Linked DNA regions of Arabidopsis thaliana. The protein of the gene in region 2 purifies or fractionates together with the protein of the main gene of each other region. This does not show direct contact. Each region holds a gene or a part of one and is shown on either strand. Other genes may lie near its edges.

Region 1 (8,728 bases), on a different chromosome or scaffold from region 2:
ACAAAGATTTCGAAGCTAATTCGTCATTTCTTGTTACTATAATCTTTTCATTGTTATTAATCACTTTGGCTTAAGTTTCTGTATATTACGTCGAGCTTCTTCAGTCTTCATCCTTGTCTTGTCACTTGTCAGAGACAGAAGATTAAAGAAGAAGAGGCGTTTCTCTCTCTTTTTTTGCTTCAGAAAAAATGGGGTTTTTCTTGTGTTCCTCTTCTTCAATCTTCTTCAAGTTCGGAATCTCTATAATCTTTCTAGTTTCTTTCTCTGGTTTAACTCCTTCAGGTAAGCCGAAAGATTCTATCTTTATTCAAGCTTTTCTCTGTTCATTACCGTATTTTACTTGCTAGGGTTTTATTTCGTCAATGATTCTGAGTGCAACTTTCCTTCTTTGTTCCCCATGTTTTAGTTATGTGCATATTTTAAAATTATTTGCTAGGAGCTTGTGTTTATTGAGTTCTTTAAGTTTGGATCTTGCAATTGCTTGAGCTTTTGGGTACATAGGGAAAGAGAGAAGAAAGTTATTTTGTATGTTAAGCCGTATAATTGTTTTGAAGGAGCTTCTTATCCTCAAAAGAGAAGATCTTTTTGACATTTTCATCTTCAATGCTCTGTTATTATAGAAAGAGAGAATCTATGAGATAAGAAAACAAAAAAAAGCTTCAGTATTTTGTGTGCTCATGGTGTTGCTTTTGGGATTGTTTCAGAAGCTTATGATCCTTTGGACCCGAGTGGGAACATTACTGTCAAATGGGATATCATAACCTGGACTGGAGATGGCTATGTGGTATCTATTTACATTAGCTTCAAATTTGGGAATTTCTTGAATCTTGATAGTGATTTTTAAAATCTTGAATCTTCTCGCGGTGCAGGCGACTGTAACGGTATATAATTTTCAGCAATATCGACACATTCAAGCTCCAGGTTGGACTCTTGGATGGTCATGGGCAAAGAGAGAGGTTATATGGGGAATGAATGGAGGACAAACCACAGAACAAGGAGATTGTTCTAAATTCAAAGGAACCATTCCTCATTGCTGTAAAAAGACACCTTCTGTTGTTGATCTCTTACCTGGATCTCCTTACAATCAGCAGATTGCTAATTGTTGCAGAGGGGGTGTGCTTAACTCGTGGGCTCAAGATCCCGCAACTGCTGTTTCCGCTTTCCAGCTTACTGTTGGACAAGCTGGAACCACAAATAAGACAGTTAGGGTACCTAAGAATTTCACTCTCAAAGCTCCTGGACCGGGATATACTTGTAGCCCCGCGAAGATTGTAAAACCGACTAGATTCATCGGTACTGATAAACGAAGAGTTACTCAAGCATTAAGTAAGTTACTCAGTTCTTGAACTCTACCAAAACAAATTTGACTTTTGAGTGAAATGAAAACTGAGTTTTGGCTTTTCTTTTTCTGCTGTGACAGTGACTTGGAATGTAACTTGCACATACTCGCAGTTCTTAGCTCAGAAAACACCAACTTGCTGTGTATCTCTTTCATCGTTTTATAACAAGACAATAGTTTCTTGTCCAACATGCTCTTGTGGATGCAGAAACACTTCTCAGCCAGGGAATTGTGTAGAGTAAGTTCTTCTCATAACTTTCATTACCTGAAAATATGTTAACTTGTTTGGTTAATTTTGGTGTCTTGTCTGTCCACACAGCCCAAAAGGTCCACGGATAGCATCAGTCATTCCAAATCCGGGGAAGAACGCATATATACCGCCTCTGGTCCAATGTACAAAGCATATGTGTCCAGTTAGAATCCACTGGCATGTGAAAGTCAACTACAAACAGTACTGGAGAGTTAAAGTCACCATCACAAATTTCAACTACAACATGAACTATTCACAGTGGAATCTCGTCGTGCAGCATCCGAATTTCGACAATCTAACTCAGACTTTTAGCTTCAACTATAAACCTCTGACTCCTTATGCTTCCATAAGTAAGTACACCATCATCTATCAGTCCCTTGTTTCTATAGAAAGGAACAAATCTTGATGTGTTTTTTTTGTTTTTGATTTGATATAGATGATACTGGGATTCTCTGGGGAATAAAGTTCTACAATGATCTGTTGATGCAAGCTGGGCCATTTGGTAATGTACAATCTGAGCTACTTTTCCAGAAAGAAGCATCAGCTTTCACATTTGAGAAAGGTTGGGCGTTTCCAAGAAGAATCTATTTCAATGGAGATAACTGTGTGATGCCTCCTCCTGATTCTTACCCTTGGCTGCCCAATACCGGCTCGCACAAATCAGTCGGTTCCCTGTTTGCAGCAATGGCCTTGTTACTGATTGTGTTCCTACATGGAAACTTGTAAGAATCATCAAGTGTAGAATTCTTCTGCTGCAGTTTTTCGAACTGATATAACCCATCAAGAGAGAGTTGGTAGCTTAGTTTTTTGTGTTCTCTCTTGTCTGTCCTCTTCCTGTACAACGCTTTAATATTAGATGGTTAACTAGATCCCCTTGAAAATGGCTACCACTTCTTTGTTCTCTATCTCCATGTTGGGAAGTAAAAGATATTCAGTATAAACTTTTGAAATAGTGTGTAGCATCAAGTTAAGAAACATTACTAGCAAAAAATAATGTATAGGAAAAGTCTCCGCATATGTTTCAGGGACAAAAAAAAGATTCAAAGATCAAAAAAACCCTGCAGCCAAATACACAGAGAAAAAGCTTTAAGGAAGACAAAAGATTCGTTATAGAATTGAGCTTCTCTGGGGATGAAACGGTTTTTCTTGATAGCTTTTTCAACGAACACTCAAGCCTTGAATAGCTGCAGCAGATGATGATGATGCCTGAGAACCTTCCTCCGTTACCTTATTCGATTCGATGGTAGTTATGATACTTGAAATGTTGTCCTACACAACCACACATAAGAATCAGATTCAGGAGATGTTTTGTAATAAAATTCTGTAATAAGTGAAAGCTTTTGTAGTTACCTTCCAAGTCGCAAGCTTTGTTCGGAGAGATTGCCATTGCTTTGTCCCAAATTCACGTTCGGAAGAGCGGCTGTAAGATATGAATCAAACCATCAAATAATGAATGTTGCGTTTAGATAAGTGCAGAGTTTCAATAGATGTGTGACTTGCCTGACAATTAAAACTTGGTTCATCTGATCCATCTTACACTCAATCAGTTTTGCAGTTATTGCCTTCACGATCCATAACTCGACATCCTGTTCATTTACCTGAAAACGAAAAGAAAAATGAGAAACTAAAAGGGTCTCAATATTTCATGTTAAGTGCAAGCAGAGGAGAGTTTTTACCTGAAGAGTGTCTTTAATCGAGGTGTAAGGTATTTTGCCAGATTCATCTGAGGCCAAATCCACTAGTGACAACAACCTCATCTTCGTAACACAATCTTCATTGGAAAGTCCTAGAAACACCACAGGATTCATCAGGAGATCATATTTCAGCAAAAACAGTTAGTGAGTTAACAATGTAGTACCATAGCTTTGCAGAAATCCCGAATTTGCATTTTGGAATTCCGTGTAGGCATTTAACCTCTGAGTAAGAAAAATCTTCAGAAGTTGGTAAACAGGTGCATATTTAGCATCCTTTTCCAATTGTGCTACGGCTGGCAAGTCCAATAAATCACACTGCAAGATTTAAGATTGCCATCGTTGAAATTCCAATCAAATATAAAAGAGCAGTGTCAGGACAAGAAAGACAAATCCAATTCACATTATGATACCTGGAAAATACTGGAAGCTTTGACAAATTCGATAACTGCACGCACAGCCTCCTCCTTGGCTTCATCCAGGACCTGAGCATCCTCATTGGAGAAAGTTGCTAGGTACTTCGTCAAGAACTTAAGGGATTCATTCACCAAGCTGGAGTATTAATAGAAAAAACCATGAGGCTATTGTTATACCCAAACGGAAACAAAAAAAGAAAGAGACAGAGAATGACTGATGAGCATAGTTATAAAGTATAAATTATGTTTCAATACCTTTTGTTTTCTTTCAGCACATTAGCAATGGCAAGAAAGAGTTCCCTCTGATCTTTAATGTCAATATTCCACTCTTTCAGAAAGTTATCGATCTTCTTAAAAGAAGAAACTATGTACTCAGTAACCTTCCCATCAACAGCTAGTGTAAGAGCTTTCATGTATACTTGAAATCGAGCATACGGGTGGTCAACCAGGTTATAGAGATTGAAGAGGCTACACAAAGATTAAGACAAAAAAAAAATGAGAAGTGTGATAAATGAGCAAAGCATTCAGAAATAAGCAGAAACGATTCATACATCTTCAAACGAAGTGAAGCTTTGTCACTGGGTTGTTGAGCAACCTTGGAAGCTATAGCTTTCACCATTTCAAGGACTTGCTCAGGGCTTTTCGCATTCTTGACAATGCTGCAAATGATGGTGTAGGTACACTCAAGATCTGAATTAAAAAAAGATGCAAATCACTGAGAATTGAATACTCGAAAGACATACAAAATAAACAGGTATAAGTAAGAATAGGAACACAAACCTTTCTCAGATATCTTAGAAGATACCAATTCAGCTGAAGTGACCATTAACGAAGACAATTCAAGCCACTTCTCTGCTACCATTGACTCCTCAGCCTCCCTACAGAGCCTGGTAATTTCTGGCTCTGCTGCCTAAAATTTGAAACGATAACTAGTTAAGTACAGGCAAGCCTTGAAAACTTAAGAAGTCGCTTAATGAAACTAATCTTAGATGGTTGAACTAATCGGATGCATCAGAATCCTCAAAGATTACAAACTATTCTAGTCCAGAAACTATCAACAAACCCTTCCATAACCAATCAGATTCTTCGAACGAAACAACATATACCAGATCAAATTTCCCATCTCACTTAAGATAGACATTCTTAAATTCCCACTATAAATTCACAACCAAGGTGTGGAGGTTACCTCGGGACCAGCATCGGCCCAGGCGAGCTGGGAAGTGAATCGGACAACAGCGAGAAAGGGATTTTCTTCGGAGGTGGGAACAATCGTCGTCATAGCTTAGCTCCGGTTTCGAATCTTCTCGGCTGCGCTGAAGAACAAATGCACCACAATTACAACTTGTTTCAGCAGCCGACCAGCAGAGACAAGAGAGAGAGAAGAAAATGAAACCCTAAATCTCTATATTTTTTTCTTTTCCGGTTAAAGGTAACCGGAACCGAATACGATTCCTAAATTAACGGTTTACCTATCTGACGGCTAATAAATTATGAGAAAACTCCAACGGTCAGGATTGAGCTCTAGTCCACAACCCTTATAAAAATCGATTTCTTCCTCAGTTAACATTTGAGAAGATTAGGGTTTAAACGCTGCCGTGTTCCGCCGGATCGCCACCGTTGAAGTCAAGATGGTACTTTTACTCTCTCCCTCTCTGTATCCTTTGTTCTATCTCTCTTAAATATTTCCTTCGCCTGATCGATTTCATGGTCTCTGATATTAGCCGTCGCACAAGTCGTTCATGATCAAAAAGAAGCTAGGGAAGAAGATGAGACAGAACAGACCGATCCCTAATTGGATCCGTCTCCGTACTGATAACAAAATCAGGTTTATAGATTTTCGTAAACTTTTTTCATTCGATCCGTGAAAAAGTTGCAGACTTTGATACTGAGTTCCATTGTTCCATCACCTTCACACAGGTACAACGCTAAGCGTAGGCACTGGCGCCGTACCAAGCTAGGATTCTAGAGCACTCTCACCGTGACTCAGATTCGTCCGAGTTTCTTAATTGCTTTCTTGTATCGGAATTGTGGTCTTTGACCCCTAAAAGTTTTAGTTTTTTGTTAAGGATTTTGTGGCTTATAGCTATGTTTAAATCTTAGAACTTGAAGAAGAGTGCATGATTATGAATTATAATAGTTGAATCCTTTCTCCTACAATTGGTCGTTGATTTGACTCTGTTTCTTTCTACTCTATGATAAAACGTAAGTATATGGCTGAATTCGAATCATTTCTCCTACGATTGATCAGAGCTTTGAACATGGCTGATTCAACGCAAGATCTTGTGGGCATTGTTTGTTTCATTTGATATAGATCTCTTGGTTGATCAGTACTTAGTTTATTTTCTTGGAACTCTTAAAGAGAACATTGTCTGAAAATTCCTTTTAACAAGACAAAGAAGAGAACAAAAGGCAAACATCACAATTGAATCACACAGGGTTCACTAAGGGATAAAAGCCAACACTTTTGATGATTTACACGAATCTGAATAGTGGGAAAAAAACTACAAGTAACTTCATTTGTTTCCAGATCCAGCAGGACTTGGTCCTCCAAACAGATAATCAAGAGAAGATCCTCCACCAGGAGCTGCATGAACCTTAGTAGATGGCCTGTCCTGTTCTCATCAACAAACATTTTTGGTTTTTATCAGTTTCCAAATCAAAAGTCAATTCTTTGATCTCAAAACTTTGTAAAGACTAAAGATCTCCTGTTACCGTGAGAAAGTTTCCACAGTTTTGGCCTTCTGATCTGAAGTAATTATTAGGACTTCCTCTAACACCTGCAGATGTCTTCTTGTTATCAGTGACTGTGGTCGTCGTGGTGGTTATCGGTCTGCCTCCGGTCCCATCGGTGGTAGTTGTGGTGGTTGTAGTAGTAGTAGTCCCCATTGTGGCAGCAGCAGCGGAAGAAGGCTGGCCGGAACCAAAAAGATAACCGAGAGAACTTTCATTCACGCCATTGTTCACTCCTCTTGCTTTACCCATCTTGTCAAGATCTGAATTTTGAAAATGTTTTATTAAGTTTGTTTATTTATCAGATCAGATCAGATCAGTTAAATGTGAGCAAGAAGATCCCAAAAAAGATTATCATTGAATCATTAAAGACACGTAATAAGAGAGATCTAAAGGATTGATTTTTATTTACCTCTCTCTGTCTCTGTAGTGTATCTTCTGCTTTCTCTACTTCTTGTTCTATGATTGGCCGATAATCAAGGAAGAGAAACAGATGGAATATGGATATGCACCGAGAGGAAAATGAGGAACACAAAAAGTATCTCGAATGGGCTTATACGGGCTTTGATTTGGGCTTTTGGTAATTCCATAGACATAGAACAAAGTTTCATAGGTTGTAGGAATAATTTTGGGCTTATGTAATTCTATAGACATGCATGACGAAGAACTTTTTTGAAATAACATGCATGGAGGAGGCAATTTCTAAGAAGAAGCAAAAGTAGGCGAGAATAATGAGACGCATTTTCATTTGATAATTTCTGACACGAAAGAAGAAACTTAACCACATTGTGTGAACCCATGACTTTGAGGATCATGCATCATCAGAGTTTGTACGATTTCATCATCCTACGGACGAGATTTCCTCGTTGACTTCTCTGAAGATTTTAGGTGATGTTGAAAGATGGCAATGACGACACATGAAACTGAAGTCTCAAATCTCCCTTTGAATCTCTCTTTTGCTTTTACATTTTGCGCCAGTTCTTCTTCTATTTTTAATTAGTACAATTTTTTTTGTTAAAGTGTGATTCCTATATCGTTTACATATTTTATATATACGTGAATGTGAATATCATCATCAATTAGGAATGAAAGTTTAGTTTACAAAAACGCTTTTAAGGCAGAATAGTTGCTTGCCAACGAAAAAAAAAAACAATCTGTTACTAATAAGTTTGTGATCTTTAGTCATAGTTTTTTTTTTTTCAAAGCATGTTCAATGTGTAGTGTGGGCTAGGGAAGAACATTCAATATTTAAAATGTTAAAAAGTCAAAAGAAAAATCTTCTGTTTCTTTCATTACATGACATTGATTATCAATTTTATTGGCAAGGATAATAAGAAGATAAGAAAAAAAGAAAAAAAAAAGTTCTAGCACTTGTTATCGGCAGAGAAAGTATATGATACTCTTACATGGTTTCCATACTTCATCTTTTGTAATTGCAGTACCCCACATTTTGCTGTGTAATTGTGCATTTTATTCTTTTCATATTATGGTTACATTCTTTTTCCCATGTGTTGAACAAAAGTATTATTTTAAGGAAATTTCGAGAAAATGAGATTTTAACAAACTCCAAGGTACATGAACTTGAGAGACCTTATGGGTTTAGAGAGTTAAGGCCCATCTGATTGACGCAACTCAATAAGATTTTTCTTCTGGTATATTGGAACCTAACGAAATATATAGGAGAATAGTATTAGTACGTATATTGGAACCAAATAATATATATAAAATATGAGTCAGTCTCTTTGTTACCAAATATTCTTGAGCTCGAAATCATAAACCTTAACATTTACGTTTTGGTGTTAACTAAGACCAACGTCAATTAAAGACCGATGAGCGATGACATTACAATAGGGACTGTTATTGGAACTTTTTCTTTTTATTTTGGGTCTTCCCTAATATTAGATCCGTCGCATGTGACATAAATTTTAATAGTTATAACTAACGTAATCATGATGAAGAAAGGAATCTTGACTAAGCTCCTCATTTAACTATCTAAATCTTTAGTGATGTATAGATTTAATAATAAACTTCATTGTTTTTAGGACGAAAGATGAATCATTTTCAGCTTGTAGTTTGTTACTTTTAGTTTTCTAAAAGCACATTTAAGTAAATAGTATAGAGTATAATTGATGTCTATACAAGTCAGTGAATACAAATTTAGACAAATATGTGGGCATAAACAAAGCCAGAGAAATCGTACTAATGATTTGTGATACGTTATTTTTCTTATAAGTTTTTTTTTTTTTTTTTTTTTTTTTTTACTTCTTAGGCATTAATAGAAGAACTATATAAAATTACTCCC
Region 2 (6,935 bases):
ACGTTCAAGGAAGAATGGAGGTGGAGTGGTACCATTTTTAAAAAAAAAAGCCAAATAGTCAAAGTTTTGAATGTATTTGGTATGACCTACTGTTATTGGAGGTTGGGCACATTTTTTAACCTTACATCTTCAATTTATACTATACTTATTTGTTACATAAAATAAAGATTGTTTCGATATACGGGTTCGAAATAAGCCGAGAAATGCTCAAAATTAGTTTTTGTGCTACTTAGTAAATAGGACAAATTAGATTCGAATTAACTGAGCTGTCTAAATAAAGTTTGAGTAGTCCGACGTTTTGATATCGTCGCCATAATGCACGGTGGTAGTTGACTTGATGATGACTCTGATATTCCTTCTTTTTTTCCTTTCTTTTTGTTAGTTAATGACTTTGATATTCGGTTTATATTATTTAAGATTTCATTTCATCAAATATTAATTGAATGATGTTTAAGAAATTAGAGAGTTAAATATCTATTGCATATATGTCAGTAGAATACTACTTGTTTTATTTTCTTTGTCCTTTTTTGGTTGTTGGCAAAAATGGTTTTTCTTTGTTCGTTTGTAATAATCTCAATAGTAACAATATATATACTAGTAATTATCAAATCCATATAGTGATATACGCGAAGCAAATGAATCAGCGGTAGATGAAATCTCTCGTTTGAATATTTGATATTTGACTAAGATTGCGGGGATACATATAGTACGCATGCATGGATGTGAAAAACACGCAAATGTCGCGTTGCACCGGACATTTTCTTAAATTGCACTCTAACATTCTCATATCCTAAACTTTAGGCCTTATTTTCTTATTAGAGTATGTATTTACAATATTTACTTGATTATTCTCATAATTGACATATTGAAATTTGAAGCCCACAAAAAACAAAGCTTCTATAGTTCTTCTTCCGTACATTACGTTAATTTGATTCATTCCCAGCTGTAACACAATGATATATATTCGGAACTATATAGTATAATCATCCGTACAATATTGGATTATAATTTAACACATACTGTCTATGGGCCTATAAAGGCGGATAGGCCTGGACACGAAGCAAATATCCGGAAAAATTGTGATATTTGTTATTTGATTCGTTTTAATCGAATACTTGATTTTATGATTTGCTTTGATTCGAAACTTTCCGGATATCCGGAATTTTGAATATCCGAATTTTTTTGTGATATTTGCGGATATCTACTTTGATACGTATAAATATTAAAAAAATATGTAAACTATATAAGCATATCAGATATTCAAAATTTTTATTTAACATACTTTCAAAATAAGTTATAAATACCAAATATAACCTTTGTTGTTATTACCGGTCAACAAAAATGTTATCAAACTAATTCCAAAAACTAAAATCCGATAGTTTAATTTTGATGTCATTGATCAAAACACAACATAAAAAAAATGATAAAACAAACATCTTAACATAAAAACATAAGGTAGCAACAATACACAAACTATTTATGATATCTACATATAGATATAACTATATATTCTAATATATATCAAAAGATACGGATCAAAGCGGATATTCGATTTTAAAAAAGACAATATTTGCTATTTGATTCGGTTTTTACGAATACTACATTTTCATATTTGCTTTGGTCCAAAATCTTACGGATATTCGGATTTTTTGAATCAAATCAAATCGAATACCGAATCGAAGCGGATCGAACGAATATTTTACCCAGCCCCAATAAAGGCTATAACACACCTTGAGAAAGTTCAAATTCCTCAAGACATAGAAAGTAGCTAAAATATTCAAGAAACGTCTCCAACAAAAGCCCAAATATTAACAACTGGAAATATAAAAGGTTGTCTACAAAAAGCTAGCCAGCAATTTTTCAATGAATTAAGTACCCGTTAAGTTGATTTTTTCACATATTTTGATTCATTTACACTTTTTTGTTGTTGTCTTATAGAAAGTAAAGTATCCGATTCATTTAGACTTTTAAGTGTCCATATATATATGGTGTGAGATCTCACAATTCAAAAAAAACTTATTATTGAAGTGAAAGATGGTAAGAACTTTAACAAAAAAAAAAAGAAAAAAAAAAAAAGATCGTACCTTAGTGACTTGGGTGGGGTGACATACGCAGGGAAGCCTAACAGTCAAGCTCCTTATCGCGAAAGGCCCATTACCTTCCAAAGACAAATTCTGGATCAGATGACCATTATATATACGAGCTTATTTGGAAGAAAATCTTCATTCAACAACCCATCTATTAATTTCCACCTATTATTTAAAAGAGAGATGAGAAATGACGTAAAAAAAAAAAAAAAAACGTTTTTCTAGCTCTAGAAATTTATAGATGGGTTGTTGAATGAAGATTTATCATTTTATGTATTCGATACTATGTTAAATAAATTTCTTTAATCGAGTTTGTTTTCATGCATGTTCTATTAACAAGTATGTAGATCTTGGAAAAAGAAAATATTTTGATCTTGATAAAATTCTTTTTCAAATCTCGATTAGTTTATTGTTTTTCCGAATTTTGCATTTATACTATTTATGTGATGTTCGTTTGTTAGTCGTTGGCGACCGCGACCAAATGTTGTTCGTATGGAAGTCGCTGGATATAGCGACCTGCGATTATAATTTTTGGTCGCTATTTATCTTTACGACTGATTATAAAACGCGATGTCTGAATTCAGTAAACTCGGCGACGGTATTGTTTTACATTCTTTTACATTTTAAAACTCTATTATTTACATTCTCTATTAATTATAATGATGCTCACTAATATAAAGTTTTAAAATGTGATCAATTGTTTCAAACTGCATTTGTCTTAACAAAATTCAAAAAAAAAATATAAATTTTTTGAAATAAATGTTTTATAAATATCAAAAGGTAAAGCTACACTAATCTTTTGCATTGTATTCGAGTAATATAAATCGAAATGACCAAAGTCTCTAAAGAATGAATAAGGATCAAATTTCAAAGAAAAGTGAAGAGTAATCGTCAACTACAAGAATCTTATCCTATGCGTACTCTTTCCTTATGAGTGACACAATAGAAAACAAACCCAACTGATTGATCCTTGTGAATAAGATAAAGTCCCAATCAACCTCTTACTTATCCTGCGCATATGCACTGTCCTCTATACTATCATGCGCATATACAAATGTCCATTCTTATCATGCGCATATACAAATGTCCATTCTTATCATGCGCACCTCAACTTAATACCAAACAAAAAAAAAAGTTTCACAAAACTCCAAAAGGTAAAGAATCTGACCCATTCACATATGCGTTTCAAAAACACTATCATGTCCACCACACGATTAAACCAAAGAGAAGAGAGAGAGAGAGAGAAACAGAGAAGAAAAGATTGAAGCAATCGAATGGAGAGTGTGGTGGCAACATGGAGCAGAGAAGAAGAGAAAGCATTCGAGAACGCAATTGCGTTGCATTGTGTAGAGGAAGAGATAACAGAGGATCAATGGAACAAAATGTCGTCAATGGTACCAAGCAAAGCCTTAGAAGAAGTAAAGAAACATTACCAAATCCTTTTAGAAGATGTCAAAGCAATCGAGAATGGTCAAGTTCCTTTACCTCGTTATCATCACCGCAAAGGTCTCATCGTAGATGAAGCAGCAGCAGCAGCTACTTCTCCTGCCAACAGAGACTCTCATTCCTCTGGATCATCTGAGAAGAAACCAAATCCTGGCACCTCCGGGATAAGTAGCTCCAATGGAGGAAGAAGTGGTGGCTCGAGAGCTGAGCAAGAGAGAAGAAAAGGGATTCCATGGACTGAAGAAGAGCATCGGTTTCTTCTTCTTCTCCTTCATCTCCATCATCTATCCATTGATATTATTTAGACTTAAAAGAGTGAAAAAAGATTTGGAAGATTCTTTACCTTTATTGAATACTCTGTTTTGTTTGGAAGGTTGTTTCTTTTGGGTTTGGACAAGTTTGGGAAAGGAGATTGGAGAAGCATTTCAAGGAACTTTGTGATCTCAAGAACTCCAACACAAGTTGCAAGTCATGCTCAAAAATACTTCATCAGGCTTAACTCGATGAACCGAGATAGAAGGCGGTCTAGCATTCACGACATCACCACTGTGAACAATCAAGCTCCTGCGGTTACAGGAGGAGGACAACAACCGCAAGTGGTTAAACATAGACCAGCTCAGCCACAACCACAGCCACAACCGCAACCACAACAACATCATCCCCCAACAATGGCTGGATTAGGGATGTATGGTGGTGCGCCAGTGGGACAACCGATCATCGCACCACCTGATCATATGGGTTCAGCTGTTGGAACACCTGTGATGCTTCCACCTCCAATGGGAACTCATCATCATCACCATCACCATCATCTTGGAGTTGCTCCTTATGCTGTACCGGCTTATCCGGTACCGCCATTACCGCAGCAACATCCAGCTCCGTCGACAATGCACTGACTGAAAACAATACAGTTGGTATTAAAACTGACATATATTGTACTGAAAACTTGTGTACATTCTCAAATCGAATAGCGAAACTGCGGCAAATAATAATGTACAGCAGAGGAATCTGTTTTTCCATTTCAAATCTATGATTTTCTTCTCAATATATTTCTTGAAACAAAGGCCTATAGGAGGATTTCATATTCAGACAGTAGAGAGAAAGTTGAATAGAAGTATACATAGATACAACAAACAAAACATATTAAAGAGTCATAGACCAAGTGTTGACTAGAAAATTTCACCAAAAAATACTAAAAGTAGCGTAGCATGTTACTATGTAGCTGCCAAAATTGAAGTTTTATAATCTAAGAGGTGAGATAATGGGGTCTCAAGTTTATACTTATCAGAGAAGATCTCTTGTAACTGAAAATAGGCATGATGAAACCAATTGAGCAATTTGTTTGCAAAATACATAACAAAAACGTAGAAGCACAGGCCAACCTGATCTCTTATTCCAGGGAAAAAAAGTAACCAAGTCCAAAAATATGATAAGAAGAGAAGTAAAGATTCAATAATGTAAAATTCTTACAAGAGGTTAAGAATGGTAAAAACTTTTCAAGTGCCAAACTGGTGACAGACGAGAGATTCCATAGATCATCGTTGCTTCTCTACTTCCAATCTCATTTTGATGCAAAGTATTCTTATTTGCATCCAAATTGCAGGAACCCTGGTTAAGAATCTTTGATGTGAGAACTGGGAGAATAATGGCTGGAGTAGATGGTCATGTTGTTGACAACTCATGGCCTATAATTAGGTACTTTCTTGAATTTCCTTTGAATAGAATTCTTAATACATTCATTGACATAACCTCTCTTTTTTTCCTTAGATGGGCTGGGGGAAAAGATGATAAATACTTTGCCACACTTATCAAAAACACTGTATCTGTTTATGAGACTAAGACTTTCAGACTGCTACGCAAGAAGGCGCGGCTGTGAATTTTGATGATGTTGTGGGCATGTCTTGGTCTCCTACTGAACCAATCCTTTCACTGTTGAAAGGGGATGTCAAGAACCAGCCTAAAAAGGTTGTTTTTCTGCAAATACCGGGCTATGTGGAGCTGATGCACAAGGATATTCTCAGCGTTAGCGACTGTAAGATGTACTGGCAGAGCAAAGGAAAGTATCTTGCTGTCCAAGTTACTCGACATACGTGCTCTCTGTTTGAGCTTTTCCGCTTCAATAAGGTACAAGGCATTACCACCGAGGCTCTTGAAGTGGATGAGAAAATCCTTGCTTTCGCGTGGGAGCCGAGCGGTCACAGGTTTGCCGTGATTCACGGAGATCAATCAAAGCCAAATGTCAGTTTCTATTCTATGGAGACACCCCAAAACCCTGGAAAAGTTTCAAAGCTAGCTACCTTTGACGACAAGGAAGCTGATGCTCTCTTCTGGTCGCCAAGAGGCAAGCACATCGTTCTCGCTGGTTTGAAAGCTGCTTCAATGGCCATCTCGAGTTTTTCGACGTGGATAAGCTTGAGATGTAGTAGGTAGTAGGTATACAGTCATGAGCATGAGCAAGCTCTTGACAAGATATATGACCAGACGAGGAGTGACCGTAGTGTTGCGAAGTCATCTTACTGTTTGTTTTCAATAAATGCATCTCCAGTGAGACAATGAAAAAAAACAGATGCCAAAATCCCTCGTCAATGAACCAACAAGAGTATTAAGGGAAATTAACTTACTTTGAGTTGATTAAAAGTTTAAACTCAAACAACGCGTTTGGGCCTCTTACGGCCCACAATGATTTCAGCTGCTTCAAAAAAGTTGGGAAAAAAACGCCGTTGCCGGGGATCGAACCCGGGTCACCCGCGTGACAGGCGGGAATACTTACCACTATACTACAACGACTTTGATGTTCCTTGATCCTTCACTAAGGATATTCAACTTTTTAACTTCTTGCAGTTATTCATTGATGGATTTTAATAGAATTGAAATTCAACAATAATGTACTGTTATTCATCTAATGATTCTAAATCCAGCTTTAAAATCTAGTGTTACTGGAGCTTATCTTTTTAAATCATGCTTAATAGATTTTAAAGTTTGTTGTTATTCAATTAAGATTTTAAATAGTTTATTAAAATTCAGTGTTATTCAAAACTAAAAGACTTGTAAAATATTTGTATATTAATTTATTTGAAATGAAACACTTTTGGAGTTTCATGAGTAAATCATTAGAATCAAAATCCAAGATATACTCCAGAGATTTTGAAATCCAAGCAAACATATTCTTAAAAGCAATATGCCAATATCAGGAAGTCAATCATCTAAACTTTAAATAATAGATTTTAACTCCATAATTGAATAACACCACCTAAATATATTAACCTTCTCAAGTCCTTAGCTTGGATCATAACACATTGGCATAAGTCAAAAGTCTTTTAAGCAAACAAAGAAAGCCATGTGCAGCATAGACAATCATGTTTAGCATTATCAAATGGGAAGTATCATTTTCCATAGTCAATACCA
Region 3 (8,612 bases), 6.5 Mb from region 2:
CATGTTGAAAATATTTAACAGAAGTAAATCCACATAAGTTTTTTTTTCTTTTTCAACATCTTTATTGTAATGGTTCAACTGTTGAATTTCTTATTTATTGAACACCTCTATTGTACATGATTTTAGGTAGAAAAATGAAATTTCCAAAAAATAAAATAACGTTAATCTTTTCCGCGGTCACACAAAAAAAAGTCTTCGTGCGGAGTACATAGCTCTTTCTCAAATCTTCTAGAACCATCTTCAAATTCTTCACCCTCTCTCTTTCAATCATCTACATCACTCCATCACTCCATCACCAACATAAACTAAAACTTCACTCACATTAAAAAAAAATCAAAACCTTTCAAAAAAACCAAAAACTCAACAATGTTCGGAGTCGTCTTCCCCAATCGAAGTTTCCCAATAGACATCTCAACCTTCACTCAAATCGACACATTCCACTGGGTTCTCGACATGAACCACTTCGTCGGTAAGTACCCATCTCCCCAAAAACCAAACTTTTCAAAACCCTAATTCCCAAAATCAAAAACCCTAATCGAAAAATCCAACCTTTTTTCTTTTTTTACAGGTGAAGCTTATGATCAAATCTCAGAGATGTGTATCTTCTTGTTAAACAATTTCAATCTTCCACCAGATAAAGCTTTAGCTGTTTATGTTCAATCTCCAGGATCAGCTTTTGTGTTCTGTGGTGCTGTAACTTTAGCTAGACCTTCTGCTGTTTTATCACTTCAATGGCCTGAACCTGGTAGTGCAGCGAAGATGCAACTCACGGCGGGTGATTCGAGTTCCTTATCGGCGAAGATCGGTGTTTCGGTGGAGGATGTAGCAGCGTTGAGGTCGTTGGATGTTGTTGCGGAGAGGAGGATTGAGAAATTGGCTATGAAAGTTGGAGAGAATTTGTTTAACTTTATGCAGTCTTTTTGTGGTGTTGATGGAAGTAAATTGGTTGTTCCTATGGATATTTTGGATCGTTGGTTTAAGAAGTTTCAGGAGAAAGCTAAACGTGATCCTGATTTCCTCAAAAGCTTTGCTTTGTAAGGTTAGCGTTTTTGTAACATTTGATCTTGTGGTTCTATGTGATGAATTGAACAAGAGATTGTAGTTTTACTTTGTTTGTCAATGTTTATTAACTAGTTGATCATACTCTGCTTTTAAGCAATTTAAAGTGTTGAACTTTATATCTTGTTGGTTTGAGGTAGATGAAAAGGTGAAGATTTAATCTGTCTTGTGTTGAGGAATGAATTTTGATTCTTAGTTTTTGATTAGCTCACTTTGGTATACTGTGTGGTTGAATCCATTTGATCTTGGGTTATATATGATGAATTGGAGGAGAGATTGTAGTTTTACTTAGTTTGCTAGTGAGATAATATGAGGGTTATGAATATTTTGGTTTCAGTGTTCTTCTTGCTTACATATGAATCACAGTTTTAGTAGGTGGAATGGTGGATACTGTTTCGTATCTATTGTTCATAAGTTTATACTCTGCTGTTAGAAATTTAAAGTGATGAACTTTCTCTTGTTGTTTTGAGGATTGAGGTAGATGAAAGGGTTAAGATTAAATCTGTTCATGTTTTTATGATGAATCTAAGACAACATTTTAGTTTACTTAGTTTGCCAATGAGAAAATGTGAGAGATATGCATAATTGCTTTCCATGTTCATATTTTTTTCTTCGGTTAATTTAGTGCAATTCAACAGAGGAAGGTTTGACATTTTTTGGTCTAGTAATATATGATTCAGTATTTGGTCAGAGGATAGTTTAACAGTTTCAGTGTTCTAACTCACATTATAAATCATAGTTTTGGTAAGTGGATGCTGTTTCAGATTCTGGTCATGTTCATAGGCTCAATCAACCTTTGATCTTAGCAATATAAAGTGTTGAGCTTTATATCTTGTTGAATCGAGGTAGATGAAAAGTGAAGATTTAATCCATCTTGTGTTGAGGAATGAATCTTGATTCCTAGTTTTTGAGAAGCTTCAGTTTCTTACAGTGTGTACTGTGTGGTTTTACCCGTTTGATCTTAGGTTCTATATGATAAATGGAAGAAGAGATTGTAGTTTATTATAATTTAATCTTATGTTCTATATTTGTTTTCAACGGTTAATTCAATATTTTGTGAGAACTATATGAGTAGTTGCAAAATATGAATCACATATACATTGAGTGGATACTGTTTCAGATTTGGTCATGGTCATAAGCTCAAATGTAGCTCTTAAGTAATTTAAAGTGATGAACTTTATTTTTGTTGCTTAGAGGTGGATGAAAGGTGATGATTTAACTCAGCTTGTGTGTGAGGAATGAATCTTGAATCTTGAATCTTGATTCTTGTCCACTATATCACAGTAGATCGTTAATACATTGATCTAATCGATTGAAGTTGTTGTTTGATATGGTTCTAGATTGGCTTACCAACGGCTTCAATATTCAATGGACCTAAACAATTTGTAGAGTCAAGAAGCTTACAAATATTCGGGATAATCTGACTTGGATGGACAACTCTAGTTGTCTGATACATACGATGAATCAAAATCAAAGCCTTTAACTTAAACTTCAATCTCGAATACATAAGTATTTTCTACAATCGATTGCACACATGTGAGAATACCCTTCAACCCTCATTTGCAAAAAGTACTTAATACTTGGTCAGCAAATTCAAATCATTGTGCAAAAACTCCAAAAAAAAATGATTAAAAACGGAATAAAAAAATGGAGAGTGTAAGATGGAAAAAGTTACATGTTGGGGCCACGGTGATCGGTTCGACCGTATCAGTCTAACCGAAATTGACCAAACAACTTTGGTCTATACTTTGATCGGTTCGACATGTTGGGGCCACGGTGGAAAGGCTTTATAAAAAGGCATAAAATCTAACGAAAAACAAAAGGAAACACACAAAAGCCCTAAATCTCTTTTTAACCTCTGAAGCAAAAACCACCACATCGGAGATTTCTAATCCAACGAAAACGCTTCAATTTTCTTGCGATTTCTCTTCCTCTGCGAAAAACCCTTTTGGATTCAGACTTTCCTCGGTATGTTTTCTTATCAAAGGGTTTTCCTTTCTCAGTTAAATTCGCTTCTAGATCTTAATTTTCGATTGATTCTCTGGTGGGTTTCTATAGAATTGCTCCAAATTATGATTTTGATTTGATTTGATTTCTTAATGTTGGGTTCTCGAATTCATGGTTAATGATTCAAACTTTATCATCAAAACTTCTCTGTGTGTAGTGTAGATTACTATGACCAATTCGTTACTTTTTCTCTGCTCTTTGTTTGCATGATGATGTTCAAGTTGAATCCTTTTTTTATTGAAACAAGGACTTCTTAAGGTTTTAACCATTTTGATTGATTTCGATTGAGGAATTCATATCGATGTTGCAAATCCATAGGATTGGATTACCAAAATCAGAAGGAAATTATTAGTTATGTGTTTAAGATTCTTGTGTTTTGGGGACTGTTTTTGTTTGGTATCTCTCTAAGAGTTCATGGAACTTGTGTTCAGGTTTAGATAGCTGACATGCCTGTAATAGTTTTAATTGATATAAGATATCTTGTCTTTTGTAAGCATTAGATTTAGCTGTTTTTCCTGGGTGTGAAATATTAGGCCTATGTGTTTTTGTTAGCTGTGAAACCTTGATTTGTAAAGTAATAGTATCAGTATTCTCTGTCTATGATGTGAAGTTAGCAAGCTTACTACAAGTAGTTTAAGCATATTTACACATGGGGATCAGTGTATTTGATTATGTGGATTGAATGATTGATCAGTAATGTAGTTTGATCAAATAAGCGTGTTTCTGATGCTTACGCGTATGTTTGGCAGGTTTACCAGTTGGACTCAGATAGAAGCTTATATCTGTACCTGATAATTTGCAGCAAATATGGATGACTGGGGTAAGACTATGCTTTAAGTGTCCTCTCTTATATTCTCTATTTGTATCTAATTATAGTCTTCTTATTTATTTATAGTATTTGATTGGATATGCAAGCAATTTTGGATTATTTGCTAATCTGATGGGTTTCATATTTGATATTTCAAAATCGTATCACTAGCATGTGAGTAGTCTTATAATTTTTATTTTCTGATTCCAGAGGACGAGAAAATTGCACCACTTCCAGCAAAAGTTGAGCTTAAAAGTAACTGGGATGATGAAGATGTGGATGAGAATGAAATTAAGGATTCATGGGAGGATGATGATGATGAACCTGCTCAGGTATAGCTTAGTTTTTACTCTCTGTAATTCTTTCCCTATTGGCTAGTGGCTACTACGTATAATTTGGTTTGAGATTCCAACGGGAATATTTATGTTTTGTCTGCTTTGCCTTGTTGTTTTTCTGTAGCCGCCTGTTATAAATCCTGCTCCGGAGAAGGCTCCTAAGAAAGCAGCCCCCAAAACTGTTGAAAAGAAGGGTAAAGCAGTCGAAGTTCCAAAGGAAGCACCAAAAGAAAAACCTCTAGATCCTATAGCGGAGAAACTTCGCCAGCAGAGGTACAGTTTGTAAATAATATCTTTCCCACACATAATAATTCACTTTAATCTTTTGTACTTTGTGTATGGAAGAAGGCTGTGAAGGTCTATGTGACCTTATATGTTATATTCTTTCTATCACAGGCTTGTTGAGGAAGCCGACTACCGGGCAACTGCTGAGCTCTTTGGAGTGAAGGATGATGACAAAAACCTTGATATGTTTATCCCCAAGTCTGAAAGCGATTTTTTGGAATATGCTGAAATGATTTCTCATAGGATTAAACCATATGAGGTATGTTGTATTCTGCCTTATATACCTTTATTCTCATTGGCTAGTATTGAAGCTCATGATGTGTGAAAATATAGTTTGGTTTCTGTTGCAGAAAAGTTATCACTATATAGCGCTGCTCAAAACAATCATGAGACTTTCATTGACCAACATGAAAGCAGCTGATGTTAAAGATGTTGCTTCGTCCATTACAACGATAGCAAATGAAAAACTAAAGGCAGAGAAAGAAGCTGCTGCGGGAAAAAAGAAAGGTATTATTCTGAATGTGTTACTCACAATCACTTCATCTTTGGTTTATAGTTTTATGAATGTGTTATTCTGAATCCGTTTTTCATGACCATTGGCATTGCTTGATCAGGTGGAAAGAAGAAACAACTTATTGTAGATAAGGCCAATGACGATCTAGTGGCTGGTCCTTATGATGCCATGGATGACTTCGACTTCATGTAGATTAAAAGAGCTTTTTGAGCAAATGCAAATTGGATTTGTCCAGCGTCTATTTTATCATTTATCTATCACTCAAAAGAAACACATTTTTCTTAATTTTGGTTTGAATAGAGCAAGAAGAGCCAAATTTCTGGTTGCGGAAATATATAGTTGGAACATGGGAAGCTTTTGTTTTGGTTTGGTCTGGGAATTCTCTAGAGTCATGTTTTTGGTTCTATTTGTTGGTTGAAAAAGCTATACTTAAAGTGTCCGTATAAATTTATTATTGACATTGATCTGATTAAATCTCTTTGGGGGTTGAATTTCTTATAGACATGAGTGCGTTTCATGTTGTCCAATCTTTAAATACTGCCTCTTGAGTAAGAGAGAAAATGTTGATTCGTTACAATTCGCTAATGTTAGTAGTAAACCTTGAAACACGCTAATATCATCATGACTTTACATTAGCTAATAACATAAAGATGTGAATGGGAATGACATAAAGAATTCATGGGAGGATGATGATGAGTTTTTAACTAAGGAACTCTAATTCCTTACTAGTTAATTTCCAACAACAACACAGTGACTGTATTGTTTAATCTTCTTAATTGGTGGTTGAGTTGCTTCTTCTTCTTCTTCGGACTCTGTGTTGTTTCCTCCGGAAGACATTGTGTCAACAACTTCAGCCTCTTCCACATTCTCTTTTAGGAGAAAGATTAGTGGGATTGATTAAAGAAAGTAATCATATGAATTGATTGATATAATTCTCTGTAATGTAGACTCTTAAATATGTTACAATATCTACTCTCTAAGATATTCTTTTTATAAGAATCTTTTAAAACTTCAAGAAGATTCATTTAATGATTTCCAGTAATGGTGAAGAAAAATATCCAACTAAAAACAAAAAAAAGCAGAAAAATATCCTATCCTATCATTATCCTAATTTTAGAAAAAAATAAATAAAAAAAAAAGTTTAACAAACCTAATTTAATCGTGCGTAGATATATCTAAAGCAGTGATATACTTTTCTTCTTCAACCGTTTTATAGACTCTATTGATCTCCCGGAACTTTCTGTTACCTTCCCATGGATAATCAGAAGTCGCCGAAGCAACCAACCTCCCAAGACTTCACCAAAGCCGCCTTCAAGCTTCTTGCGAATCCCCACGTTGAACCGACGGTGGAATTCATCGCCGCCCTCACAAAGCCACCGGAGAATCCAGAAGATAAAGACATCAAGTTCTTCCGTTTCTGCGTCGCCAATTACCCGGGATGCTTCTCCCTCAAGCTCATGCGTGTCTATTCCTCGAATGATCCACGAGTCCCATACCAGATCAGAGAGATTGCGATGATATTACTCCACGTTATCTTCATCATAGAAGAAGCCTCTTTGAATTTGGCAGTGGTTCACATACTTTCGCCTATACTCATATCATGCCTTGAAGAACAAGTTATCTCGAACAACAGTTTAAAGATTCTTTCCATGCTCGTGAACCGTGTCGCTTTCGAGATATTCACCATTCAGGAAGAAACGTGGTATGACCTGCGTGAGTTTATCTCGTCTAAAGCGGAATCAGAGTTTGCGAAAGCGGTTTCCGTGTTCAAGAGCTTGTCGATGCCTTTGGATGGAGAGGAGTTTTTGATTCCTCTCATGGATAATCTTCTTCCAGCGATCTTAAAACGTTTAGGTAACAAAGAGGAAGAGAGTTCGAGCCAGTGGGGTTTGGCCTTTGTGGGTGGTTTCTGTGCGGCGGTTCACTTGTTGGAGACGACACGTGTTGATTTGGTGGAGAATCTTGCGAATGAGATGTTGAAATCGGTGAAGAGAGGAATGGAATTAGGGTTTCTTGGGAAAGCTCTTAGGGAAGTTGAAACCGCTGTAGTGGAACAATTATGGTGGTATTGTACTACAGAATTCAGATTCGTATTGGGTTTGATTAGTAGGATTGATGCGATTGTCACTGAGGAGACAGCGAAGAATGTGTTGCAAAGGATTAAGATAGTTGTGAAGAAGAAGATGCTTGAATATGTTTAAGAGATTGGTAAATGGTGACGAAGATTGGCTTAATGAGAGCCATTGAATTTGGATGCTTCTTGCCCAAGTAAACAAATTCTTAGGGAATGTTTTGGTTTTGAATTGTGTAGTTTGGGTGTTTATACTTTATATTTTGGTGTTACGTACGAGTGGATTAAATCAAACAGAGTTTTTGGATTTATAGTTTTTTGCATCTTTGGTCATTTACTGGAAAAACTTTAAGCTTTAAATTTTTTACTTTGAGATAATATATCATTATTTCTTTGTGTTCATGGGTAATTTCACCATTGACTAGTTACTTTTTGTCAACAGACCGTTTGATACCTCTAAATAAACATGTGAAACAAGTTACTCTGCGCTAGATCATATTCATGTGATCTTTTTTTCTTTGTAGGAGACGAGAACTTCTACATGAAAACTTAAACGCTATTAAAATCTTGCAAAACACCTCTTTTTCGAGTTAGAAAAAAAAATAGAGTTTTTGGATTAATAGTTTTTTGCATCTTTGGTCATCTACTAATATTGGGAAAACTTTAAGCTTTAGATTTCTTATTCTGAGATTGAGATCCAAGGAAGAATCATATATATGAAAGTTGGCCAATTCTCTTCATATGATTGACACATTATCACTAGCATTTACCATGTGTTTATTAAAGAATTAATGTAAGCTCTTTAACTTTTAATTTATAGGTTAATGATATATTTATTATTGAATTTATGCCGTGATTGGTAACTAAGGTTATTTAGTTTTTTTATTTTTTAATACATGAGACTTTTAGGACTTTGACTTGCATAGTCTGGTTTTTTTTTTTTTTTTTGAAATAGACTTTTAGGACCAAATTATTTTGGAATCTTTGGTTGATGATAATTTTCTTTTACGATTGGTCATTTACTAATCATGAGCAAATAGTCACATTTTTCTTTTCCTTTTCCTTTTGAGTTCACATTTTTCATTTACTAATAAAAAAGTCTTTTCCTTTTGAGTTCACATTTTTGAAAGTCTTGACACCATTCAAATGTATAGAGTATATACTATGAATGAGAATGTTGTGATATATTGAGAAAGAAGCTAAGCTCTCTTATATACAAGTTCTTACAAAGTAATTAATATTCTTTACAATCAATGAGAGAGATTAGTGGGATTGATTGAAGAAAGTAATCATATGGATGGATTGATATGATTCTCTGTTATATAGAATCTTAAATATGTTTCACTATGTACTCTCTAAGATATTTCATCCACTTTGGTAACTATCTTTTAATAAGAATCTTCTAAAACTTCAAGAAGATTCATTTAAAGATTCCAGTAATGGTGTGTATAGTAAAATCTCTGTAATATCAGAACAATGACAGTTCATTAACTTCTCGATAATATTAGTTTATAGAGAATTTGTTGTGGTCAC
Region 4 (7,587 bases), on a different chromosome or scaffold from region 2:
TGTGTTGAAACAGGTCTTGCGCTTGTTACGAGACCTCTGGCTCTTGTGGGTGCTGCTCTAACAGCTTTAAGTATAGCTTTCCTTAACGACAGGTACCATCTCATGTGACTTGTTTTGGTTTCTACTTATATATATCTGCTCTGCAATGCGTTTAAGGCTTCATGGTAATGTGAAGTTGGTGTAGTTTTGCATGAATTAGAAGGGTATTAGGCTACTTTGTATACAGTGCTTTCTCTTCAACTGGATTCTTAGTATTGGATTCGAATCATCCGATAGGTTTTTATGATCTGTGATTTTTGAAATTTGAGTGTTTCGTGGTGGCTAGTTCCATGTGTATTCATATGAACTTCATGGTCGTTTGTTCCATTTGTATTCACATGCATTGGTAGATATTAGGCTCCTTTGTATATAATGGTTGCTCTAGAACTGGATATCAGTATTGGAATTGATAGGTTTTCTAATTTTGGTTCTTGAAGTCTTGAGTTTTTCAAGTTGGTATGTTCTATTCCCGCTGTGGCGATTTGATGTTCATGTTAGAATCATACATCGATGTTAGTTGCTTTTTTATGAGATTGGATCAGAAAGTATTGTAGTATGTGGTTGTGTGTGTGTGGTCCGCTCCCTAGCATAATCTATTAGTTTTTCAAACTTAACGGGGTTAAATGTTGTCTTTTGCAGTTTTGCAGCTAGTTTTAATGAGAAGTTTATAAGAACGATTAGGCATTTCTCCCCACACATGGCTGCAAAAATGAGACCTCCCCACATGTGAGTTCCATATTAATTAGGTTCATGGAAGATATAAATAGGGTTCGTAGTTACATTTGTAATTTTATTTAATATGTGATCACTGCAGGCCTGTCATCCGTGGAAGATCGACAGCAAGAAAGACAGTATACGTTTGTGGGAAACCGCGATGGGTATTCGTTATTACTTTCCTTACAGGTACTTGAATACTCATAATTCCTCTTTATGTAGTTAATGTAATATTGGTGTTAAAAACTGATCAATGTGTTAATTTTCTCATGTATATATAGCCAGTCTTGTCATGTGGTTTTCTTCCTGCGGTTTGTTGTGGGTCCTCTATGCACTTCTCACTTCCCTTGCTGGTAAAGTTATTCCTCCTGTTTGATCATAGATGTCCTTTGATGGAGTTTATGTTTTGACCTTAACATTTTTTCTCCACAGTGATCATTGTTCATGCAAGCATAAGAACCCCAAATCTCAAGGCACGCTTAAACACATTCCGTGAAGAATTCCGGGCTGTCTGGCGTAACTACAGTGAACTTTAAGTCACAGGTCGCGCTACACAATCTAGAAACAAACAAAACAGTCATCTGACAAGTGAGGGGATGCTTTCCCTCAACCATGTTCGCAGTTTATTCTTATGATGGCAGATGTAGCTCTATTTTTACATGGTTAAGATGGTTATTGGCAGTTCGATAGCAGACAGAATAGATTCACTTGAAATAGTGGACATACTTGACCAAGTTACTTCTAATTGGTGTAGTGATGTTTATACTTTTCTCACTGTCTCACAATACTCTTTTTTTATATAAATAGATCCAAACATAATTGAATGGTGTTTCAAGTACAAAATTTGGAAGACAAAGAGCATCGGAAAATAACATTGTTTTCTTATTTCAATACTTGACAAAGTTCTTGAGAGATTTCAACCACAGTAAGTGCTCTCTACTATCCTTGTTGATCATGTACTCGTGCAAGAAGTTGATCATGCTCGGCTTTATCCCTCTAATCTCAATGTACCTATGGAAAGCCTTCCTTAGCTTTTCATCCAAAACCCTGCAGAAAGAAACCATCAAAGATCATCGCTTTGATTCTGGTAACATCAAAAGCTTAAAACTTTTTCTTCTATTACCTGAAGGAAGGTCCTTCATAAGCAAGCTCATCTTTGGAAGGATCATCAGGAAATGTAACCCACATGTCCTTGATCGCAATCCTGTCTGGAAAAGCAGTACATCTAAATTCCAAACTTGGTCCTGTCTTCTTGGAAAGAGTTACTAAGAGAGGCACATTCGATTGCTTAGGCTTCAATGGCTTATCCTCATCTTCATCTTCTTCATTCTCTGCTTCTTCCTCATCATCTTCATCATCTTCTTTGTCACCAGTCACAAGATTAGTCATGTGTACTTCAACTTTAACAGTCTCTCCTTCATATTCTCTAGTCAATGTCACAATCTTCCCTCCTGGTTTGTCTTCCATTTCGAAAGGGAAGCCACTTGGAGTTTCTTCAACCTTTATTCAAACAAAAGAAGAAACAGAGAGATTACACACCATTGCCATTGAAACAGAGCTTCACGAAACACATAAATCTTAATAAACAAAATTTGCAGAAACTAAAACATGAAAATGGTAAGGATTTACTCGATGATAATCATCAGCTTTCTCGGCGTATCCAATCTCCTCTTCAATGATTCGAAGAAGCGGATCAGTTGGAGAAGCTCTCTTTTTGGTCGATGTGGTAAATGGAACATTCCGGTCAACCGACGGCGTCAGATGTCGCCTCCGGCCAGAAGCGGACTGGTCCAACAATGAGTAAACGAAAGAACGGTTTTTCCAATAACTTCCCACAAACCGAGAAGCTGCGCGACGTACAAGAGTCGCCATTTTTTTTGTGTTGAAGCTCAAATTGGAAGAGTGAGGGTTTTTATTTCCCTTTAGGGTTTAATATAGCAAATTACAAATTTAGCGGGACTTAAATTAAAAATCACAGAAAATCAGGACCGGCTAAAAATACGGGCCAATATGGGCCTAGTGGCCCATTACGACATTAAGAGACCGTTTCCATAATCCGAAACCCTAGTTTGCTTCTGTCTTTAGTTGTTGCCTTTTAAACTAAACTAACGAACTTAATAAGCGGCATATCTAAATCTGAGAAAAATGGCGATTGATACGATACAAAAAACAAAAAAGCTTCGGTGGGGAGAAATTGACGAAGAAGAAGGCGACTATGATTTCCTTCTTCCGCCTAAGCAGATGATTAGTCCGGACCAGAACGGTGTAAAGAAGGTGATTGAGTACAAATTCAACGAAGAGGACAAAAAGGTCAAAATCACTACCACGACCCGTGTTCAGAAGCGAGCTCTCACCAAACAAGCCGTGGAGCGACGGAGCTGGAATAAGTTCGGAGACGCAGCTCATGAAGAATCCAGTAGTTACCTCACAATGCGTTCAACAGAGGATATCATCTTGGAACGAATTAGAGCTCCTGGTAAAATCTTCAACTTTGCATTTTAGTTTGTTAGGATTCGTTGTTATTATGCTCTGTTTTGATTAGGGTGGCTAATTAGCCAGTCACATGTTAGCTTTATGGCTACTGTTTGTGTGAATGGTCAGTAAGCACACCTATAGCAATGTCGTTGGTGATTCGTTTCAACACTAGAACAGGATTTAACCCAGTTTTTGGTTATGGATCATCAACTATATCTTTGGTTCAAGTTTTTTTTTTGTAACTGTGTAACATAACAAAGGTGCCCAATTAGCCGATCACATATTAGCCATATATGGCTGCTTCTTTCTGTGATTGGTCAGTATGTCACCAATATAAGTATCTTGTTGGTAGCCTTTTCTGAATGTGGACAAATTCTGTGTTCTCTTTTCTAGGCTATTAACTGTACACATTCAAGTATTCATTTTTACATAAGTTTCTTTATAGGTGGACACGTTAGTCAGCCATATTGTTCTATATGTGGGTGGCCGTAATGCCCACCTAGATGTTTTGTTGGTGGCTTCTTGCACGAAAGTAGATTTCTGCTTTCACTTTATAGCTGCCAACTACATTTTTAGTTTTTGCATTACCATCTTAAAGGGTAGTATTATTTTGAGGTTTTAAGATGTTTATTCTTTTGAATATCTCAGGTAGCAACGCGGAACAGTCGACCGTATCAGGAGATAGCATGTCTCAGTTGGGCAAACCGGGTGCGGTCCTCATGGTCTGCAGGTTATGCCAAAAGAAAGGTGACCACTGGACATCAAGATGCCCACAGAAGGATCTCTTATCCTTAATGGACGAGCCTTTAACAGCAGAAACTTCTACATCGACCATAACTGGAACTGGCAGGGCGGCTTATGTCCCGCCAAGCATGAGAGAAGGTGCAGACAGAAAAGCTGGTGGTTCAGACATGAGGAGTAGACATGATGAGAACTCTGTCCGTGTGACTAATTTGTCTGAAGATACCCGTGGACCAGATTTGATGGAGTTGTTTCGTCCGTTTGGTGCTGTAACCCGTTGTCATGTAGCCATTGATCAGAAGACAAGCATGAGCAGAGGATTTGGTTTTGTCAGTTTTGTGAGCAGGGAAGATGCACAGCGAGCAATCAACAAATTGAATGGCTATGGTTATGATAACCTCATTCTTAGGGTTGAATGGTCCACTCCTAAAACCCAATTAGATCCGTTTTCATTCGCTGATTATAATAATCTTTGTAAGTTGTTGAATATATGTCATTCATGATTATAAGTTCTCGCGATACATAGTAATTCATGTTGGGGTCTCGTATGCAAGTTCCTACTAAATGTATTTCGGTTGAATACGTGCAAAAAAAGTAATAAAACTCTCTTTATTACGGCAAGCATGTTACTTAGAAATGATCATAAGGGAAGGACCAAGTAAGGGCAATTAATCAAGTGAATATCATCAAATTCAAAGAGATGGGAAACAAGGACTCGAAAGGCTCTTCTTCTTCAACCAATCCGAAAGAGGAGATTGCTGCTGTACCTCAGCCTCAACAGTCACCACCGCAATTGATCCGAAAATCGCAACCACAGCAGCCATTACCACCACCTTCGTCTGAGATGCCTCTTCTCTATCCGTGTTACAAAAAAGAAGACTATGAGAAAATGAGCGAAGAGACAATCGATATGCTCTTAGCGACTTACGGAATCATGACAGTCCCTGGCGATTTAGCTGACAAGAGAAAGTTTGCTTTTGAAACCTTTCGTTGGGATCATAAGAACAATCACCCCAAAGCTTAGCAACTACTTGTCTAGTATAATGAAACTAACGTTTTATGATTGGACCTAAACACATTCATAATTCGTTCATTAACACAAGAAAATATAAATCAAAATGCTAGTACTTGTACAATATCGAATATTTTAATCACTTTAACATCTCTTGAACAAGTTTCAGAAAAAATTGTTAAGACTAAAAGGCCCTAATTTTACCAAAATAATTATATTTTATTTTGAGTTTTGCCAAAGGTCCAAAAATGAATTGAGCCGGAACTGTATCCAATATGGAACATAGTTTTTACAAAATTATAGTTTTACAAAATTTAAACTATATCCAACATGGAACAAAGTTTAAACCCGCGGGCCTAATGGGTTTTATAAAATTTAAACGGATAGCCGGTTTTAGAAATCATAGTTTTTTTTTTTTTTGACAAAGTTTTTTTCTTTAAACTTGTTAATCTGAGACAATTTAATTCTTTGAAGAATATATGAAAACACTAAATTAATCATGAACTTTTACTATACTAAAAAAATAAAGAGATCTTCAATCTTCAATGGTGGAAACTGAAAAGTCTTTTTTTTTACTTTAAAATTTAATTTAATTAGTTAAGTAAAGAATAAATAAAAATACCAAATAAAAATCGTGAACTTTATTTTTAATGTTATAGTTTGATATCCACTGTTAAAACATGAAAAAGATTGTACCAAAACCCATAGTTTCTATGAAATAATATCAAAACGGGCCTAAAAGGATTTAAATGGATCAATGCAAATTTAATGGATTTAAAGAGCAAAACTTAACGGAAATGGGCTTTAATAGGCTTAAATATTTTTTGGTTAAACGGGCCGGGCTTAAACGGGCCGATCTGCCTGTTATAACATCACTAAACAAAATTATGGACTGCAACAACAATAATGTCTTCTTTTGCTTAGAAGCGATTTGAAACTTTTTAAGTAGTTATGATGTATTTATTTTCTGTAGATTGCTTTGATCTATTTTTTGTAATTTTTGTAATTCTGTCAAAAATAAAATAGTATAAAATTTAACCTTTTACTAAAAAGAAAAAAAACAAGATCTTGTGAGATAAAAGTATTAAAAAAAGTCTCATACAAAAAAAAAATTAAACTAAAAGTTTGTGTCAGACTTAATTAAGGCAATGTGGTGCTCACTTGAAGAAACTAAATCCTATTTTAATTAATAAAAGCAAATAAATAAACTAAGATGGATGTAGTATGCCACACGTCCAATACCAATGTTTATCTTTGTAATATAAGGATTCTATGATTTTGGTTATTTTTAAAAATGTATATCTTTATAAATCAATTTAAAATCTCTTGAGGTTTTGCTAATTTAGGTTATTATAAGTAAATAAATATAACTATTTTTAAGCTACTATGTTACTATTTTTTATTTTCCTTATTAGTGAAATTTGTAGGATTTTCACACATGTTAAGAAAACATATTAAAAAAAAATATTTTTGTGATTTACAATTTGCAATAACTCTAAATTAATAGTACTCAAATATGTTTTTTTCAAAATTTATAACTCATCAATAATAACTAATAAATATTGCATAGAAAACTTAAAATATTTTTTTGGAAACTAATTTTTTTTTTAGAAAATAAAATAATAAGGAACAAAGAGAGTATAAATTATGAACTATTGAAGATAATGATATCAATAACACATCATAATGATAAACAGCTCATCTAAAAAAAATCTCATATCCACCTTCTCCTCAATGTTTACAATCTGTATAGTGATGATATTTGTGACATGCTATGAAACGTTTCAACAAGATGGAGAACCATTTCCAATTAGAGGTCCTCTTACGAGGATCACGGTTAAAAACAATAACGATTATTTGCTTGGAATCCACTGTAAATCTAAAGATGATGATCTCGGTTTCCATATTCACAAAGAGGGTGAATTATATGGTTGGAAATTTCATGTAAATTTTCAGAATTCAACACTATATTTCTGTGGATTTAGCCAAGGACAAGATAATAAAGGCGTGTTCGACATAGACAGGGCGGAAAGAGATTTTTATAGATGTAGAAATTGTACATGGAATGCAAAAAAAGATAGTCTATATGGTTATAGCAACTTGCCTCAAACAGTTACATGGTTTTTTAAGTGGTTAAAATAGTACTAAATTGAATTATCATTGCAAATATAAATAAAATAATCTTTTAAGAACTGTATAAAATTTGCATATTATGTTGTTAACCTAAAATAAAAACTTGTTGTCGAGCATATTAGAGCAAGTTTTAGTAAGAGAGCAAATAAGAGATGTGAGCCTTTAAAAGTATAAACTTTAAGAAGTGTCAATGGCTGTTTAACAAATCAGAAAACAAATAGTTAAGGATAGACTGAAAACAACTGATTTTCTTATATTTTCCTTCTGATTTTCTTATATTTTCCTTAATTATTTTTTATTTATATTTTTCTATATTTCTTTCTGATTTTCTTATATTTTCCTTCTGATTTTTCATATTGTTCTTCTGATTTTCTTATATTTTCCTTCTTTTTTTATATATTTTTTTTATAGACTTCATAGCCAAACACTATATGTACATATGTAATCTTTTATCTGCTTATAGAAAACTGAAC

Evidence for each region.
Region 1: the proteins of AT1G49015 (region 2) and AT3G02200 fractionate together in Arabidopsis thaliana (co-fractionation; one large-scale study listed by BioGRID). This does not show direct contact.
Region 3: the proteins of AT1G49015 (region 2) and AT1G66070 fractionate together in Arabidopsis thaliana (co-fractionation; one large-scale study listed by BioGRID). This does not show direct contact.
Region 4: the proteins of AT1G49015 (region 2) and EIF3G2 fractionate together in Arabidopsis thaliana (co-fractionation; one large-scale study listed by BioGRID). This does not show direct contact.

What each region holds. Positions count from the first base shown.
Region 1 is NC_003074.8:402,939-411,666, reverse strand, and holds AT3G02200 (Proteasome component (PCI) domain protein), read right to left. Parts: upstream 5,080-8,728; 5' UTR 4,976-5,079; coding exon 4,883-4,975; intron 4,607-4,882; coding exon 4,477-4,606; intron 4,387-4,476; coding exon 4,248-4,386; intron 4,165-4,247; coding exon 3,952-4,164; intron 3,833-3,951; coding exon 3,694-3,832; intron 3,599-3,693; coding exon 3,448-3,598; intron 3,376-3,447; coding exon 3,266-3,375; intron 3,188-3,265; coding exon 3,090-3,187; coding exon of another isoform or gene 3,086-3,089; intron 3,010-3,085; coding exon 2,940-3,009; intron 2,859-2,939; coding exon 2,748-2,858; 3' UTR 2,467-2,747; downstream 1-2,466. Other genes in the region: COBL1 (COBRA-like protein 1 precursor), read left to right, coding at 189-282, 705-784, 870-1,326, 1,421-1,577, 1,659-1,939, 2,026-2,315; AT3G02190 (Ribosomal protein L39 family protein), read left to right, coding at 5,325-5,327, 5,418-5,521, 5,614-5,662; SP1L3 (SPIRAL1-like3), read right to left, coding at 6,210-6,308, 6,409-6,678.
Region 2 is NC_003070.9:18,129,353-18,136,287, forward strand, and holds AT1G49015 (DPP6 N-terminal domain-like protein), read left to right. Parts: upstream 1-5,175; coding exon 5,176-5,225; intron 5,226-5,297; coding exon 5,298-5,349; intron 5,350-5,378; coding exon 5,379-5,960; downstream 5,961-6,935. Other genes in the region: AT1G49010 (Duplicated homeodomain-like superfamily protein), read left to right, coding at 3,362-3,786, 3,907-4,426.
Region 3 is NC_003070.9:24,592,782-24,601,393, reverse strand, and holds AT1G66070 (Translation initiation factor eIF3 subunit), read left to right. Parts: upstream 1-2,762; 5' UTR 2,763-3,027; intron 3,028-3,815; 5' UTR 3,816-3,873; coding exon 3,874-3,886; intron 3,887-4,084; coding exon 4,085-4,206; intron 4,207-4,333; coding exon 4,334-4,482; intron 4,483-4,605; coding exon 4,606-4,753; intron 4,754-4,844; coding exon 4,845-5,001; intron 5,002-5,108; coding exon 5,109-5,200; 3' UTR 5,201-5,585; downstream 5,586-8,612. Other genes in the region: AT1G66080 (hikeshi-like protein), read left to right, coding at 367-469, 569-1,038; AT1G66060 (hypothetical protein (DUF577)), read left to right, coding at 6,262-7,209.
Region 4 is NC_003076.8:1,805,271-1,812,857, forward strand, and holds EIF3G2 (eukaryotic translation initiation factor 3G2), read left to right. Parts: upstream 1-2,840; 5' UTR 2,841-2,898; coding exon 2,899-3,229; intron 3,230-3,291; exon of another isoform or gene 3,292-3,446; intron 3,447-3,486; exon of another isoform or gene 3,487-3,641; intron 3,642-3,876; coding exon 3,877-4,472; 3' UTR 4,473-4,586; downstream 4,587-7,587. Other genes in the region: PRA1.A2 (prenylated RAB acceptor 1.A2), read left to right, coding at 14-92, 679-765, 854-942, 1,035-1,106, 1,186-1,289; AT5G05990 (Mitochondrial glycoprotein family protein), read right to left, coding at 1,641-1,800, 1,877-2,253, 2,383-2,625; AT5G06010 (uncharacterized protein), read left to right, coding at 4,670-4,993; AT5G06020 (Plant self-incompatibility protein S1 family), read left to right, coding at 6,668-7,123.